2 linked regions of the Arabidopsis thaliana genome follow. The protein of the gene in region 2 binds, or shares a complex with, the protein of the main gene of each other region. Each region holds a gene or a part of one and is shown on either strand. Other genes may lie near its edges.

Region 1 (5,561 bases), on a different chromosome or scaffold from region 2:
TACAGTTTTTTTTTTTTTTTTCGCGTTCACAGAAGTCTACTTTATTATAGAGGAGAAGAAGAAGAAAAATGACGTCAATATGTTTGGGCAACGATTTCCACGCGCCAAATTTCGATTTAATACATGGACAAATGACACACAAAATTTTCTAACTTAAATATACATACGATATACATAAATGATAAATCTAATATTATTCCATTATCATATAATATTTTGTATGTGCCAAACATCACGACTTTTTTTAATTGCAATTTTGAAATTCACATATTACATTTCTATGGAATATTTTATTAATCTCTTACTTTTTAAAATATTTTTTTGCTTAGGATGTCCAATCTAATTTAATCAACAAAAAAAAAATGATAAATCTATGGGCCTACACTTTTGGGCCCAAATTTATATAACTCTTCTCGCGTTAATCAGAAACTGATGCTACTTCTCAAGGTTCTTACAAAATGTGTAACAACTAACAAGTAAGAACTAAAGAACACAAATCTCAAATTTGCTTTTCCAGTTTCTCAGGTCTAGAAGGAAGAGATTCCTGCCAGCAGTCTAAACTTCTCATAGGAGACCCAAAACACGAACTGCCACGGTCCAAGCCTTGCCCATGTCGGGAAGAAACCTTTCCACAAAGCTCTTATTCCTTCAAACTTAACCGTCTTCACCAAACAGTCGTAAGAATTTCTGTACACAGCATTTTCACCCTGGTTCATCATCCTCGTCTTCACCACATCAGCTGGACAACTCAAACTTGTCGAAGCAAGACCCGACATTATAGAAGCAAGAGTGTGCGCAAAAATGTTATCCTCAGCAATCTTCTTATCGATGACAAAGTGTTTGGCGTGATCATAGCAAGCTAGTTCTCCCATATTCACTAGAAATGCTCTCTGGATGTTTGGAAGAACACCTTTCCATAACCCTTTTACTCCTTCTGATTGTAGGATTTTGGTAAAAGCCTCGATTGGTCCCGAGTACCTCGGTTTCAGGCCTTGGCTCACCAATCTACCATCTGCTTGCATTCTCACTTTGACCAAATCAGCTGGACTAGCCACTACCTGCATTTCTAGTATGGACACAATAAGAAGCATTTTAGTGTGGTGTAGGTATAAACAACACTCAAATGTCAATTCTAAAGATATCAACAACCTAAAAGATAGCTACATTTCTCACTTCAGTAGCGTAAAAACAATTGAAAATCCTTAATAATTAACTTCGCCGGAAATCTACGAGTTTCCATAGGTAATCAGTGATCTGAGAGAACTTAATTGTAACACATAGGAGACAACAAGCAAGCACAAATTTTGGATTAAGGATCTGTGAAATACATTGAGACGTCTATGACTAGGATCTGCATTGGTTCTTATCTCTGAACCAACCTAAAGTAGCAGCTAACTTTGGAATGAAACGAACATTGAAAGCCTATAAAACTTGAAACAAAATCTCCTTCTAATTAATACCTTCTTCTACGAAACATATTCAAAGGAAACTATACATAGAGATCGATTGTTCAATTCGAAATGTTAATTCTACTCTAAGCAACTGTTAATCCAGATCCAATTTACAGTCAAAACATGACTCTAAAGATTTACCGGTGAAGAAACACCGTTACCTGAGCTATAACACCAGAAAATCCTCCGACGAGAGCCTTTGTGGCGAGAGGAAGAGACTCGCTATTGTTAGTTTCAGATCTGACGATGAGTCCTTTCAAATTCTCGTATCCAATGATTCTGATAGGCGTGTAGAACAGGTGTCTGATAATCGCCGGAGATAGACCTTTGTAGAGACCAATCACTCCTTCCTTTCTCGCAATCTCCGATACGACTCCGAAAGCGCCAATCCGATGCGCACCAGAAGCGGATCCCGAACCATGGAGCTGCATTCTAGTCTTTGTGAGATCAATCGGAAACGTAACTGACTCTGCAACCATCGCAGAGAGTGAAGCAAGCAGGATCCTGGTTCCGGTCGGTGCTTCTCTGGTCACTCGGCTCCGCTCCATTTTCACCGGATTTGATTACCACTAACACAATGTCCATCACAGAGAACACAACTTGATTCTATTTCGTAGTCAACGACATCGTTTCGGTCATCAGAGTGTATTTGACGACGTCGTTTCCATAATATTGGGCTTTAAAGTCTTATGGGCCCATGTTCACAAATTCTAAAATACAAAACTTTAGAGATAACAGCCGACGTGGCAAAACATGAAAGACCGAGTAGACATTATAGTTTTGAGCTCCTCCCATTTCATATCCTTAAGAAAAACAAAAACAAAAATCAAATGAGCTCCTTCACCACCACCAACACTCCGCCACCGTATCTCCTCCGGAAAATTTATCATCGCCGTGTAAACCAACCGTTCTCCGTCGTATGTTGCACCGGAGAACCCCAACAAGACATCTTCACCCGCCGGAGAACCTTGACTTCACTAATAACATTCACGGTCATCGGCGGTGCTACGTCATCAGCATTAGCACAGGAGAAATGGGGGACAAGGTCATTCATAAAGGAGAAATATTTTATGCCGGGACTATCACCTGAGGATGCGGCGGCGCGTATAAAACAGACGGCTGAAGGATTAAGAGACATGAGGGAGATGTTGGACCACATGTCGTGGAGGTACGTTATATTCTACATAAGATTGAAACAGGCTTATCTGTCTCAGGATCTCACCAACGCCATGAACATCTTGCCGGAGAGTCGCCGGAATGATTACGTTCAGGCGGCAAACGAGCTTGTCGAAAACATGAGTGAGGTATACGTTATATAATTAATGAACAAATTAAAAACAGAATTAGTAATTTTTAATGCTAATTTAAGGTTTGATTGTTAATAACACTGAATGTTGCGTTTTGTAACACATGATCATATGGAAGTCAAACTTTAACCACATGTTAATATTGATATCTTTCATAATTTTGATATAACAGTTGGATTTCTATGTACGGACGCCAAAGGTGTACGAGTCCTATCTTTACTACGAGAAGACATTGAAATCGATAGACAATGTTGTGGAGTTTCTTGCTTAATTCAGTTGTATTGTATATATGTCTTTCTTCATTCTTCACATGAAATCTCTGGACTCGTTACATTAGATATAAAATTAAAAGACTTAATAATGTATATTCAAGAAACATTTCGTTTGCGTGATTTCTCTGCAAAATCAGATCGATATATATATGTGCATAGATATCTTAGTGGCGAGAGAGGGAGATAGCGGAATTGATAACAATAAGCATGAGTAAGATCACTGCGCAGAAAGAACCGATGAGAGATCCCGAGATGCGTTCACAGAATCCGTCAAATTGCTGGCAGATCGGTGGCCAATTAGCAGTTGTGTTCCCCTCGTGAGCTAAATACACGGTGGCTGTTGCTGCAGATGCTCCAGAGCTAACCAAAGCCAGCATCACCTGATTATATATAGAAACCATAAATCATAACACTTTTGAGTGATCAAATTTAAATTTATATATGGGTTTTCATTAAAATGTTAGCTTTCTTGGGTCACAAGTTAGTTGGATATTTGGTGCCCTGTTTTGTTCTCTTAAAGAGGGAGATATTTACCGTGTCGACAACGAGCAAGATGATTCTCGAGGTTTTAGCTTGAGTACTGAAGATATGAAAGATACTCACAGGTAGAGAAAGAACCAAATATCCACCAGAAATGGCGTTTGCAACCACGAAAAACCTATAAAACAGAGCAGTATTATTATATATACACAATCAAATTCATGATTCATCGATATACTGATCACTGAATATTTTACATGAGCGTTGGTAAGTCGCTGTATTTAACTTTCAGAAGTACGAGCTGACTCAAAGAGACAACAGATTCATGTGTTGTTCCCATGGCAAGCGCGCTTCCTATAGTTCCAAAAACAGCAAATAACCGCAGAACGAATCCAAGAACCGATATTCCTTTGTTTATAACCAACTTTGGCTCAAAAGTAATCAATTTCCTAGATGATCTTGAAGTTTCCCCAGCTTCAATCTGTTTTGCTTCCCTAGCTTCAATCCCTTGTGCTTCCTCAGCTTCATTATGCTTTGCTTCTTCCATTTTTGCTCTGTGACTGTTTACTAAACAAAAAGGGTCTGCAGTTTATATAAATCTCCACAGTGAAACACTTCAAGAAGTGGTTAAGACTTTGAAGTAGCTGATTATAATGAAGAATACAAGATAAAAAAAATGTTAAAGCATAATTAATTGTGGAATTCACATATAAAGACAGAGAATTTAGGTTTATTGCTGAGGACATATAATGAGCAAAGATTTATTTGTTATCTTGTGTTTTTGCTTATCCTCTCTGTACCTGCTCTATATTGTTACATCAAACAACAACCAATAAGAATTCTCATTTTGGCATTGTATTCATGTCCGTAGCTAAATAATAATCTAAGCTATAAACTTTGAAGTGTTTACTAAATTTGACTGTGATTTTTTTTAGAATGATGAATATATTTTATTCGTAGAGAAAGAGAGAAGAAATTCAAAAGATTAAAGCTACCCAGATTGAATTCAGTGCTTTAAGGCACGACGACAACTTATGATGTTTTGTCTTTCATAGGCGTTTTTGTTCAAGAGGTTCTTTTTGAATTGTCCCACATCGATAGTTTAGAAGAGCTTTAGTCATAGCTTTGGGTATAAAATAGAAGCTGAGCCGTACGAACAATTCATACCTTTCTCGGCCTTTTGGCTAAGATCAAGTGTAGTATCTGTTCTTATCAGTTTAATATCTGATATGTGGGCCATCGGCCCACACGATATTAACTCTATTTTTTGAGGGAGATAGCTCACTAAGATAGCTTGCTATCTGGGCTTTCGCGAGTCGCCCATGCGTTGCACTATTGCACGGGCTTGGCTCAACCCGCCAATTTTAGAGTCCCAATTTTTAAGAATCGATTCTTCTTATTGCACCGTCAAGGCCCAAGGAATACCGATTTGGTGAGATTCTAGCTTGCAAACGTAACTTCATCCCACATCGACGATTATGAGGATATCTAGTGTATTTATATATACATCTGAACTTTGGTAAGTTCAACTCGTCACTGTACGAAGTGATTGGACTATAAACTTGTCAAAGTTCAGGCCCAGATAAGTCCGCGGGTCACTTTTCCGTAGAGATGCGGAACCTCGGCAACGAGAGAATCTTTACGTCGGATAGACATATGGCTGAGACACGTGTGTGGAGCCTTCTCTCGGACGAATGATATAATATGGCTGAGACACGTGTTTGGAGCCTTCTCTCCGACGAATGATAATATGGCCGTTCGTTACAAAACAGTTATTCACTTGGGTCTTTCTTCTGACCAAACTGAACGGGGCTTACGTTCCAGTGTCAACATCTCTTTTTTTGAGATTTGATGTACAACTAAGAAACTGATGGAAAGCGTAAGCGTGAGATTTTTCATATGAATGACTAAGACTTCTGTAATCTTGTTTGTGTCCTCTTCTTCTCACCTACTCTATAGTGTACATCCACTAACTTGAACTAAAAGTATAATTCTTGCAAGAACAAAGTAAAGTGGAAAAGATCCAGAGTATCTAGACATTAATCTCAAAA
Region 2 (6,548 bases):
TTCTTTATCGCCTACTACTATATTTATTGTGAATAAATTTTAAGATAATACAAAAAAAACTATTGAACCTCATCAGAAACTAATTCACACTTGATTTTTCCTTTTTGACCAAACGAATCAAGAAAAACATTGCATTTTCACATATGTTATATCATTATCAAAGAGGTTGTAATTTCATAAACAAAAGTCTATATTTTATTTTTTACATTCTTTTTTCGTTAAAAGGCTTATAAAAGTCTATTATTTACACTTTACAACATAGTATTCACTTAAATATTTTCATTATTCTATCTAAAACTAATTTGTATATGAAATCATAACAAACAATTAAAAATACAGTTCAAAACACCAAAATTTGCCCCAAAAAAAGAAATCCAAAATTTGATAATCGTTTCCGATCGAGTTCTATTTGACTTTGTATTGACTTGCTTTGGTCTGGTCTCATCTTTAAATACCACGTTCTAACCATTCTTCATGATTTTATTCCCGCGGCTTTGGTGAAAAACGTTTAATTTTCTTAAAATGATGTTGTAGACAAGAAAACTTTGTGTCATTATCAAGAAAATAAGAAATGATGCCATTCTACCAACTCTGAACTTGAAAGCCGAAGAATCGTCACAGATAGTTTTTGTCGTAGATGTGTCATAACGAGAGAAACTACGGATCATTTGTTCTTTACGTGTCCACACGCTCGCCAAATATGGAGAGCTTCGAACATTCCCCTTCCGAGTCTATCAAATCCCCAGGTGCATTATGAAACAAAAATTAAAGAGATTTATGAATTTCATAAAAATGCAGGACAACATACAATGCAAGGGCAGCTACCTATCTCGATCCTTTGGAGAATATGGAAAAGCCGTAATAAGCTAGTGTTCCAACGAAAACAGAACGATTGGTGGAGAGATATCAGAGATGCTACAAATGAAGCGGAAGAATGGATCACAAATGGCTTATGTGCGCAAGTTCCCACTCCGAGTACGACTAATGGCACAACTAGGCAGTTTCAGAGTCAGTGGCAAAAACCACATATGGGATGGATTAAGTGTAATTACGATGGCAGCTTTGTGAATCGAGTTCGTGGCTCTACGGCAGCTTGGATAATTAGAGATGATAACGGCGTGTTCAAAGGGGCTGCTCAAGCGACAGGTGCGACCGTTTCCTCAGCCTTTGAAGCAGAATGTCAAAGCCTAATTCTTACCATGCAACAATTATGGATAAGAGGCTTTAGAAAAGTAATACTTGAAGGCGACTGCAAGCTCCTAGTCAATGTTCTGAATGGAAGAGGCTCAAGATTTGATGCTATCAATTGGATCCATGAAATCAAAGTTTGGAGAAATAAGTTTGACGCAATCAAGTTCACGTGGTCACACAGATCAACAAATCAACCTGCTGATATTTTAGCGAAAAACCAGAAACATGCTCTGTCTTCATACATAGTTCATAGCTTTATCCCATTGTGTATCTCAAATGCTCTGTTTTCAGACTACGTTTCCTAAGTAATAAAAATGAAGTTCGTGTTAAAAAAAAAAAAAAAAAAATGATGCCATTAACTCATATCATAAGTTCATAACCCAAAACTAAACTATCGTTTCATGTGTACTAACTACTTGTGAGATTTTCACAAGTCAATAACATGCGTGTGAATCTTTAACGCGTGCGTGATAAGTTTTGTATTTATATCATCATTTGGTATGTGTCAACACACAATTTGGGGAGAGTTTGTGTGGTAAGTAATGCAAAAATATATGTTTGTTATATAACATAGAACTGATTCTAATTGCTAAGAAAATTCCTACCAAACGAAGCAATTACGTTCAACAATTATTCTTAGAAGTTTGAAGAAACCATTCTCTACCACTCCACAATTCTTTCTTCTTCATTGGTTTTACAAATTCTACCTTTTCAAGTCATTCTTAAATCTTAAATAAACAAAACCAGTTTGAATTTTTTTTCGTAGTTGGTAGAAAAGTGTGTTCCAAAATGAGTTCTTTAGAAAAAAAATATTTCCAAAATGAATTATGATTTTTAATCTCTCTGCACCTTTAGTTATATCGGTAAGATATCTCAAATTCTTCAAGCAAATTATGGTACATATTTTCTATAGATAATATTGAAGAAAAAAGGAGCTTAACTAGTGTTGATTTCAACTATCGGAATCAAATATATATTTGCATTTCATTAGACACTAAACCTTTCAACAAAAAAATAATAATAATTCAATAAACACTACATGTGTAAGTGCATGTCACATGGATTACAAATCATTAAGCTAATATCTTCGATGAATTAAGAAGATAAGTGGATAACAAGTACCTAACCGCAATAGTCCATAAATTAAAACATTAATGTATTTGTCGTTGAAAATTTGGCCGACTTTTATTTGTTATTCTAGTTTCCACATCAAAAATGTTTGTACTTCGTAGCAATCCATCCACCTAAACCCCAAATCTTAATTTATATTTGTTGCGTTTAAATTTGGGTGAGATTTGATTCTAAGTAGTTGAGATAAATTGATATTCTATTCATTAGTAAAATGATAGAGAAATTGGTTTATAATAATTTTACCCTAGAACATGACATGATATTGGTAACCATTAATCAAAGAAAGAGCAAAGCATTTAATTTACCCTACTCTCCAACCACTCCAGCCTTTATTAGTTGCAGTTGGGAATCATTTCTTTATGATTCTTATGTCATTGTCTCCTAAATCAATGAAGTGCCTTGACCTTGTTACTAATTCGAACATAGCAAAGCCAACTACATAGATCCTTTACAAAGTTCTAAAAACAGGTTGTTTAGGCGTCTAGACAAACAAAACCATTTTGTACGATTCAACAAATTGGTCCATAGAATGTTATTGATCTTTCTTGTTTAGGCATTCGATAAATCGGCTAATACATTATTTTTTTGTTTTGCTTTTTCCTTATTAAAAATATGCAAAGTATTATGATGTTTAACCTGAACTGAATTTTACATTTAACTGGATATAGGAAAATATTGGGTTGAATTTAATAATTAAGCAATTGTCACGTAAATCAAATTGGGCTTAATATATATTGTTGATTTCAGCAAAGACAAAGTTGGGCCGTTTCAATAGTCTTCACGCGATGTAAGCGTTCACTAACCAACTAGAGAAGACAATCAAATGAATACGTTCCACGTGACGCTTACGAACTTGTCAGTCACTTTGGTAATATGACAGACAGTAACCAGTAAACTACTAATCTCTTTCGCTAACGAACACACAAAAAAAAAAAGAACCGTTTTTTCTTTCTATGGCTCCAAAACTCTGAGACAGAGCAAGAAAAAGATAAAGTGAGTGAAAAAATGGCAACGGTCACGATTCTCTCACCCAAATCGATTCCAAAGGTCACTGATTCCAAATTCGGAGCTAGGGTTTCTGATCAGATCGTCAATGTCGTAAAATGCGGCAAATCCGGCCGGAGATTGAAGTTAGCGAAGCTGGTCTCAGCGGCTGGATTGTCACAGATCGAACCAGACATCAACGAAGACCCGATTGGTCAATTCGAGACTAATAGCATTGAAATGGTAAAGATTCAATTGATTTTAAATTCATAATTCTGCTGAAAGTTGTTTCTGATTGGTTAGCGCTTTTGTTAATAGGAAGATTTCAAGTATGGATATTACGATGGAGCTCATACTTACTATGAAGGAGAAGTTCAAAAGGGTATAATTTTGGTTTCTCCTATTGATTCTTGTCGCTGTTTCGATTTTAGAGCTATAATATTTCTTTGTTTGATTGATTGATTAGTCTTCTTGGAAATGTTTCTTAGGAACATTTTGGGGAGCAATTGCTGATGACATTGCTGCTGTGGATCAAACTAATGGGTTTCAAGGTATGAATTTAACCCGCTTTTTAGTGCTTTTTATGTACCGCAGATTGATTGAAAACTCGCGGTTTTTTTATGTCTGCAGGTTTGATCTCTTGTATGTTTCTTCCTGCTATAGCTCTTGGGATGTATTTTGATGCTCCGGTAACTTCAAAATCTTTTGCTTGCTTCCAAAATTTATCATTACTAGTTTTATCGCTTTTGTTTTGTGGAGGACGTACAAGAGATTAGATAATTAAGCCAAGTATGAGAAGAAAAAGAATCACCAGTGTTTGTGTGTGTGTGTTGCAGGGTGAGTACTTGTTCATAGGTGCAGCGTTATTCACGGTAGTGTTCTGTATAATAGAGATGGATAAACCTGACCAGCCACACAACTTCGAGCCTCAGATATACAAATTGGAGAGAGGAGCTCGTGACAAGCTCATTAATGACTACAACACAATGAGCATTTGGGACTTTAATGACAAATATGGTGATGTATGGGATTTCACCATTGAGAAAGATGATATCGCCACACGATAAGATAATGGATTGTGATCTCGTTATAATCATGACTTTTGATGTAAACTGTTTTATAAAATTGATGAATGAACGGGGTACAATGTGTATAATATTGATTGTTCATTCTCTTATTTTTCTTTAGTACCATAAAACCTAGATTCTCATCTTGTAGTGTTAGGTTTCTGTTCTTCACTATATGTTTTTTTAAGATCTAAGTACCTCGTATGGACCCAACGAGTTTCCATACCCATCATTAGTTCATACAATGGTGGATAAACCATACAATTTGAGGTTGACGTATGCCACACGCTAACTTCATCCCCTGGTCCAAACACAACAATATAGTGTTCCAGTATTGTGGAAGAGTCCGAGGAGCTAAACACACCTTCGAGTTCTATCGAGTTGGAACATCAAGTGACAAACCAGCTCCACTCCTAATCCCTAGTCTCTCTACAAGAAAATGCTTTAACGTATCTCTGACACTTTCTTTAATATTGTGCAAACTATTCGTAAGTTCCATACCAGTTTTTACTATGATACTAGATGAGTACCCACGCTACGCGTGGGTTTGTTTTGAAAATTGTTAAAAAATATTTAGATTGATTGTTAGTTTTGCTAATTTATGTTTATTTTTGTATTGTTAATGAAATTAGATCCATATTATTTACAATTTTTATGGTTAGATTCATTTGTAACTCGAAATATCAATTTCTAATTTTCATGTATAAAGCTATTTATAAGATGTTAATATTTGTTCACTATCAAAAATACATATAACAACAATATATGATATTTTGATACAATTATGTGTAACCATGTTACTTGTGTGGTTTAAAATTTATCTTACTCGATTATAAATAAATCAATTCTTTGTTTTATGTACTTCAACAACATTGTGATAAGCTCATGATTAAAGTTTTGATTGACTTCAACTGAACAAGATCTGAAGAGTATTCGTATGAAAAAGGGGTATGAAGAAAATAAAAAGATAGCAAAAACTAAATGTCATTTAAGTCAACACTTTTAGATCTTCTGTCATTGCATATATCAATATTAGAAAAATGATCGTGTTTTGCATGATTTGAAAATTGTCTAACTTGATTATAAATAAACTATTTTTGGTTTATGTATTCCCTGATATAATACTCCAACAACATTGTTATAGGCTCATGATTAAATATATAGAATTAATATAAATTGAACAAGATTTCAAGAGTATTCATATGAAAAAATAAAAAGAAAGCAAAAATGAAAGTATCATTTAAGTCAATACTTTTAGATCTTCTGTCATTGCATATATCCATATAAGAGAAATGATCGCGTATTAAATTATTTGGTAGGTCTTATAGAGTAGTGATTATTGCTATAAAAAAAATTTAGTCATTATAGAGTAGTGATTATTGCTAAAAAAATATAAATAAAAAGAATATAATGAAAGTAGTGCTTAATTTATTAACATATTTTTTTGTTTTTTATTTTTATTTTAAAAAAATCAATCAAGAGTAGGATTGATGATACATTTAATTTGTTTATTTAATTTTATTAATTTTTAGTTTTAAAAATATCGAATGACACATGTCATTTTCTTGTGTGATAATGTGTCATTCATATGGAGAGAGTTGGTCAACTTTCATATATATGATTTTAAACATAGATAAACCCTCTTACTATAATATTCTCTTATTCATCCTATTTTAATTAGTCAATCAAAACATTTCATACTATATTTTAAAATAAATAAAAATTAACATGAAAAAGGAACAAATTAAAGAAACAAAATGTGTATACTTTTAATTAAAGAAAATTAAATATCGGTTTGTGTTTATAACTAAGAGTTTGATTTTAGATTTTACAATTAAACAACATTATATGTCGTTTTGGGTTTATAAAAAACATTTAAGGTTTAGATTTTACAATAAAAATAAATTATATGTTGGTTTGGGTTTATAAAAATGAGGTTTAAGGTTTAGATTTTATAGTTAAACAAAATTATATCTCGGTTTGGTATTATAGAAGAGTATTTAGAGTTTAAATTTTACAGTTAAACAAAATTATCTGTCGGTTTGGATTTATAAAATGGAGGTTTAGGGTTTTGATTTTATAATTAAACAAAATTATAAGTCGGTTTGGATTTATAAAAGAATGGTTAGACTTTAATTTTTTACAATTAAAGAAAATTCTATGTCAGTTTGGATT

What was found. The genes of interacting proteins can lie anywhere in the genome.
Region 1: PnsB5 (region 2) and PnsL2 share a complex: the UniProt entries of both Arabidopsis thaliana proteins name them as parts of the chloroplast NDH complex.

What each region holds. Positions count from the first base shown.
Region 1 is NC_003070.9:4,837,604-4,843,164, forward strand, and holds PnsL2 (PsbQ-like 2), read left to right. Parts: upstream 1-2,197; 5' UTR 2,198-2,281; coding exon 2,282-2,755; coding exon of another isoform or gene 2,756-2,770; exon of another isoform or gene 2,771-2,930; coding exon 2,931-3,029; 3' UTR 3,030-3,194; downstream 3,195-5,561. Other genes in the region: UCP3 (Mitochondrial substrate carrier family protein), read right to left, coding at 528-1,058, 1,613-1,999; AT1G14160 (Uncharacterized protein family (UPF0497)), read right to left, coding at 3,195-3,410, 3,565-3,688, 3,768-4,057. UniProt on the Arabidopsis thaliana protein: NDH shuttles electrons from NAD(P)H:plastoquinone, via FMN and iron-sulfur (Fe-S) centers, to quinones in the photosynthetic chain and possibly in a chloroplast respiratory chain.
Region 2 is NC_003076.8:17,577,925-17,584,472, reverse strand, and holds PnsB5 (NAD(P)H dehydrogenase 18), read left to right. Parts: upstream 1-3,197; 5' UTR 3,198-3,327; coding exon 3,328-3,549; intron 3,550-3,624; coding exon 3,625-3,688; intron 3,689-3,794; coding exon 3,795-3,857; intron 3,858-3,936; coding exon 3,937-3,995; intron 3,996-4,142; coding exon 4,143-4,373; 3' UTR 4,374-4,606; downstream 4,607-6,548. Other genes in the region: AT5G43755 (non-LTR retrolelement reverse transcriptase-like protein), read left to right, coding at 701-746, 913-1,146, 1,246-1,496. UniProt on the Arabidopsis thaliana protein: NDH shuttles electrons from NAD(P)H:plastoquinone, via FMN and iron-sulfur (Fe-S) centers, to quinones in the photosynthetic chain and possibly in a chloroplast respiratory chain.